Linked DNA regions of Bombyx mori. The protein of the gene in region 2 interacts with the protein of the main gene of each other region in a pairwise test. Links are inferred from orthologs where the notes say so. Each region holds a gene or a part of one and is shown on either strand. Other genes may lie near its edges.

Region 1 (2,958 bases), on a different chromosome or scaffold from region 2:
GCTATTAGGCGCCTTCTGGTAACAGATGACTCTTTTATTGCTTTATAGGGTAGACGAACTAACCGCCTACCTGGTTTTAAGTAACCGGATGTCTTAAAAATCCGACTACTATGTAAGTTAATGCGGAAGTCGCAACAGTATAATAAAGGTTATGTCCTTCAAGCCGTAACCGGAAATTTCCCGGCATTGATAGCAACTTATCCGGTTTTATAACACATTCTTTTTTCGGGCATCAGGGGCCAATCCCCCTACGGTACTGCGCCAAGGGGGCGCACAAGATATGGGATTCCGTGGTTAACTCTACAACCAGAGGCGAGACCAGATTTATCAATGTAATAAGAGGCCATCCATAAATGCACATGTCACGTGTGTTCATGATAGGAGAATTCGATTGCAAAATAAAAATATGGCGTGGTTAAAAACTAGTGAGTAGATAGATTTAGTATTGCTCATTCAGACGTCTGATTAAGGAGACGTTTATTATTAAATATCAAATAAAACAACAAAGGTTCATCAGAATCATTGTAATTCTCCACAATTACTTATGACAACTTTCGCTGAAACCGTTCCGCTCTTACTGCCGTACCTCTCCATCTTCTTCATCACGTCCAAGCCGGAGATCACGTGACCGAAAACCACGTGCTTACCGTCCAACCATTCTGTTCTAGAAAATATGAAATCATTACTAAGACTCTGGAAACGCTGTGAGATATTTTTCATGAGAAACATAATTATTATTACACTAGCGGCTCGCACCGGCTCCGCTCGAGTTTTTAACAAAAAATTCAACGATATTTGATGTTGTTTTATTTTTAAAAATAAAAGAACACTTATTACGGCATAACTACAATAATTTGACATAATATTCTGACGCGACACTTTTTGTAATTAATAATGTGTTCTACAAAGTCGTAGTACATTATTTTATTCTGTCATCAATAGTTTTCGCAGGGCACGCGATGTAAATAATATTTTAGGTAATTTTTTACACCTTGGGTTAGATTATTGGCTTTTTAGTAAATATCCCTAATTTTTTTCAAAACATATTATAGCCTATGTCATTCGGGAATAGTGTAGCTCCCAAACAGCGAAAGAATTTTTCAAATCGGTTCAGTAGTTTCGGAGCCTATTCAATACAAACAAACAAACAAATCTTTCCTCTTTATAATATTATTTTTATTATTAGTATAGATAAAAATCGAAACTGACAAGGGCAATAAGATAGAAAAACTAATAATGTTACTTACTTTGCAGTACAAAGAAAGAATTGTGATCCATTCGAGTTGGGTCCGGAATTAGCCATACTTAGAACCCCGGGGCCGGTGTGTTTTAATGCGAAGTTTTCATCTTCAAATTTTCTGCCGTATATAGACTTTCCCCCAGTTCCGTTGTGATTCGTGAAGTCTCCTCCTTGACACATCTAGGCTTTTAATTCAGGAAATCACCTTTTTTTTTCAAAGTAAAATCTTCTTTAGCATCGTTGTGATTCGAAAGTTGATGAAACGAAAAAGCGACAGTAAAAAGAGACAGACACATAAATTCATAAGATTTAACGTGGGAGAAAATGAGATAGAAGCATTATACAGTATACCACGAATATAAGCGTGGTTCTCTTTGTGCTCTGCTTCGTACCTAATATTCTTACTTAATACATTCTGAATAAATCTATGTAATATATACGAATAAAATGTAAAATAATTATCAAGCTTTGTATCACTTGTAGCCTACAATTTATCCTCTTCCCGAAATTTTACATTCGTCTCATTATTTCGAAACCAAAATTTTTCAAAGTTTCAATTCTATCACGTATGATTTGCACACAATAATATGTTTTTTTTTTACTATATATTATGAGAATGACGTAAGAGAATTTTTAATGTCTAAAAAACCCCAGTAACCAAATCTAAATTCTGACGTGGAATTTAATAGGTTGGGGAGAAAGTTTCTTCACATTTTTTAAGAAAATTCACATTTTTTAATATAGTTTATTTACATTTAACTAAATTATGTCGGTACCATTTTGTTCTATAACTTTTAATGATACTAAAACCAGCCAGATACAAATAGTATAGCCAAAGAGAATTTAGTACAAGTTCATTTTATTTATATACATATAAATAAAATTGAAGTGTCTGTTTGTAATATTGAAATAGCCACTTTTTACTACATGCATATGAATATATATACGGTACATAGACCAAAATAACATTTTTTTACAATTTTTGTCTGTCTGTCTCTGTCTGTTTGTTCCTGCTAATCTCTGGAACGGCTGGACCGATTTTGACGGGACTTTCACTGACAGGTAGCTGATGATATAAGGAGTAACTTAGGCTAATTTTTTTAGACTAGCTTCGCCTCGCGTCTTCACCCGCGGTACGACAATAACCGCGGTTAACATCGCGGGACTCAGCTATCAATAGTAAAATTTAATGTTTCCGAAGCGAAGCGAAGGCGGGTCGCTAGTACATTCTATAATGCGAAAAGACTTTTTCCCCTACCTATTATTACACATCTATGCATATTTTAGAAAATGACTAGACCAATGTTTATATGTTTGAAAAGGATACGAATTCTGGAATGATTCGATGAAAGCTACTGCCCTGGTAACCGAAACCTTTCTCGTGTGTACACAAAGATCGAAAGTTCTCCGCTGTTTTTGGGACTATGTCGGCTCGAAGCATCATAATTATACGGCCTATTTCTTGTTTGTTTACACTTATGTCGAAATACACTTGAGGATTGCGTTTCTCTATCGGTTTCGATGGTGTGACCTGAAAAAATTTAATTCTAATTATAATTTCAATGATGTATGGATCTGTATGGATCTGAATGTTGGGCGACGAAAGTAAAGCATGAAAGAGGAGTGCACGCGGCAGAGATGCGAATGTTGAGATGGATGTGTGGAGTGACAAGAATGGACAAGACAAAGAATGAGTATATCAGAGGAAGTTTGAAACA
Region 2 (3,767 bases):
TTGCTCTTTCAAGTTTTGAACCACCATATCTTTTTAAAAATTTTGTTAGATATGTATTCCAAATATCATACACATTAGGCCACTTGAATAAGGCAATACCCTTTTCATATGCTCTAAAAGCTTCTTCAAAGTAATTATGCTCTTCTAAAAATAATCCATAATTGATAATAATTTGTGGAGTAGCAATTTTTAAATCTATAATATGATCATACACAGCTTTGCAAGATTTGAATGTACCAAAACTCTCTTCTAAGTCAGCATACATGGACCAAACCTTTAGTGATTTATACAACCTCATTTGCACAGTTTCAGAATCATCATGATATGCTACTTTTCTGCTTGGTAAAACAGTGGCTCTTTGCATTAATTTTAGGGCTTGCTCATAATTTTCATGTCTGATTTCCATTTCAGCCCATTCACACCAAACTGAAGCTAAATCGTCTACTTTAACATATGCTACCTGTGTAGCTTTTTCAAAAATTAATCTGGCATCTTCAATTTGGTCATTGTTTTCATAAAATTTTGCAAATCCAACCCACAGTGTGAAAAGTTTACCAACAGCTAATTTAGGGTCTACAGTTTGCACTGCTTCAGTATATGTATCTATTATTTCATGGGGTTTACCTTCATATAATTTGACTCTTTTATGCCATTCAGCCACATTATGTGGATTTTGTCTAAGTAGAACTGAATTAAGCAGTAACAGCCTTCTTTCCATAAGATACTCAAATCTGGCAAGTCTCAATTCTAAATCAATATCATCATCTTCACTTGGATTAGTTTTCTTGGCAACTTCTTCCATTTTTTTACTAAGACTTAATTCCTCAAATTGTGCATAAGCATCAAATATTTGTGTAAAATCCCTCACTGTAGTCACAGTTTGTATAGCTTCTTCATAAATGTCTCTGGCTCTTTCAAAAAGACCACTTCGAACATAATAGTCTGCAAGAGAGTTCCACAGGTGGCCTAGCTGATCAGTGTAACGTCTTAATCCCCCTCTGATAATAGCGTCGACATTCAGAGAATGAATTTGATCAGGATTCTTTGATATCAATTCACATAATTCATTCCAAAGTTGATGATTTGACTTTCCATGTTTTGATTGAAAATTCTCATTATTAACTAGTTGAGCCAATTTGACTGCAGCTTCATCTAATTTATCTATTGAAGTTAAGTAGTCAATATACTCTTCAGTATCTTCAGGACATAATTTAAGATACCTACGAAACACTCTTACAGCTGTTTCGGGTATATTGTGTTTCTTCAAGAAATTTAAGTAAAGAGGCCATATCCTATGATGTTGAGTTATTGGTAAAGCTCTAAGAGCACTGTCAAACGCTTTCCTTGTTGTAGTTATTTTATACTGATCTGTTAAGAATGAACAGTAATCCATCCATATTCTAGGCATTTTGTGCATAAATACTAAAGACCTTTCAAAGCAATTGTTTACATCTTCATAGCATGGGTCAGCTATACAGCGACCTCTTATTTGTTTTCTTCTTAATTTAAGATAGTTATACCAAAGTTTAAAAGATCCTGGTAATTCTTTTAAAGCTCGTTCATATATCATATTAATTTCATGTTTGGGTGCAGTTTTCTTGTGTTCAATGTACCTAAGCCAATGTTTGACAGAAAATGGATTTCTTAGGATTTCCTCTTCATACGGAAGATCTTCTTCACTCTGTAACAATAACAATTTTATTTGAATTAATATGATAATAATGTTTGATATCAACGTACCAGAAAACCACAAAAGCTTTGGTTAGATTTTTTAAAGCAGTTGATATATTAAGGTTTCTTTGTTAATTGAATTTGGGTTGAAAAAAATATTTGTTGATTGTATTTTCATATGTCGGCAAAAGTAAATATGTATGCACACTAAGCATTGTAAATTATAAAAATATTTTTGAACTTACGAAGAATATGTCGATTTCTTTTCCGTCTAGAAGAGGCATTCTAAAGCTTTCGAATATGTACCGTAGGTACTATAAATTCAATTCAAACAGTTGAGTAATTGAATAATTAGCTTAATTCTATTTCTTTAGAACACACTCAAATATATTATGTGTATAATCTATGGAACACACTTCAGTGTTTAATCTATGACACACAATATCATAGATTGTACCTTATTTTTTTAAGAGATTTTATGACCTGGTAACTAAGACCTTTAGGTCATGTTTTATTTTAATTTATATTTTAATTTTTATGAAAAATCATAATATGGAGTGAAATGAAATGAGATGAGATGATGTGAGATGAAATATAATCTAAGTAAAATGGTGGTCATTTACTGAGAATTTTGATTCAGTGGACTTTTTGGAGAATCCCGAAAAGTTACGTCCAGTGGCTTTGTTTCATTTTCCCACTTTTGTGCACTTTCACAGATATTAAACAGTTAATAAACCACCGTTATTACACATTTAAACTTGAAGAAACACTAAGTAAACAAAATAAAACAAATCACACAATTTCACTCCTCGCGTTCCTGCCAAAAATCCGATTATAGATTAAAGAACGGAATAGATCCGATTATACCATAAATTTTAAGTATCTATAGATTATACACACTTGTGAGATAACTAATTTAAGTATTAGTTTGTGCGGCTTAATAATGTAACTGATCAAAATTAATTAATCTGAGCGATGAAAATAAAGATATCTAGTAAGGGGGGGCCCAACTTAAGGGAGATCATTTGTTTAATTAATTATAAATAATTAAAAGACGAACAAACAATTTTTACATTCGAAAATTAACGAACAAACGACGAACAAATAATTAAAAATAAAAAAAATCCAAAAATCAAAAAACGAGGGGCCAAATTTAGTGAGCCCTACCTATCTACTCCACGTGTAAAAGCGCTTCTGCTTTTGCCTTGGGCCTTGTAAGCTATCATAGATAATACGCTTATTATTTGAGTTTGAGATGTAAGCTGATTGTAACTTGTAAGCTATGTTAGGAATTATGGCCATCCATTGCCGTACTGCATGCAAACGTGTTGTTAAACAAAGATTTAAGTAAATATTAATTTATGTAACGAGAACTACATTCCGCTTGCCTACTAAGAGAAACTAGTAGAAAAAAATCGCTCCAAATAATAGCGTTTGTCATAGATAATAGACCATAAATAAATGTTTGTACAATTCCTTTTTGTAAAAAATATAAAACCTTTAATTTACTTGACTTCACCGTGCCGGTTAGAGAAGATTATTTTTTAGTTCTTTTTTTTTAGTTTAATGTGATACAAATGTATTTCTACTATAATGTCAAAACAAGGAAAAAGAAAAATATCTGTTGAATTGCCGAAAACGAAAGATCTCTCTATTAGACCTAGTGTGTTTGATCGGCTCGGTACTAAGAAATCATCAAGTGCTAAAAAAACAACTGAACATTGTAGACAGTGGGCCCAACACGGCAGCTGTGCTTACGGCAAAAGTTGTAAATTTGCTTCTACGCATACTCTTATCAGTCCTTCTAAACAACGCGCAGCTCATAAAGACAATGATCAGAAACGTTTAGTGAAGGATGATGGGAAGACTAGATTGCATTCTACTGTTATAGTGCGGTCAGGTCAAAGCCCCGAAGGAGAAATCGATAACTGGGACCAAAATGACTTAGAGTATGCAGACACAGATGTCCTCGAAAAACGAAGACAGCAGTTGCAGCGTGAACTAGAATTACAGATGAAAATGGATTCAAACAAAGACATGCGAAAAGATAAAAAAAAAGTCGTGTCCAGTACGTCTTCATCTAGAAGCTCTAGTTC

Evidence for each region.
Region 1: the proteins of pre-mRNA-splicing factor syf1 homolog (region 2) and peptidyl-prolyl cis-trans isomerase interact in a two-hybrid assay, tested with the Caenorhabditis elegans proteins (2 studies listed by BioGRID). The link is inferred for Bombyx mori from reciprocal best matches to the Caenorhabditis elegans genes syf-1 and cyn-13.

Annotation. Positions count from the first base shown.
Region 1 is NC_085121.1:14,023,740-14,026,697, reverse strand, and holds the end of peptidyl-prolyl cis-trans isomerase, read right to left. Parts: intron 2,772-2,958; coding exon 2,568-2,771; intron 1,421-2,567; coding exon 1,248-1,420; intron 665-1,247; coding exon 520-664; 3' UTR 510-519; downstream 1-509.
Region 2 is NC_085110.1:13,377,534-13,381,300, forward strand, and holds the start of pre-mRNA-splicing factor syf1 homolog, read right to left. Parts: upstream 2,296-3,767; 5' UTR 1,956-2,295; coding exon 1,917-1,955; intron 1,682-1,916; coding exon 1-1,681. Other genes in the region: zinc finger CCCH domain-containing protein 13, read left to right, coding at 3,265-3,767.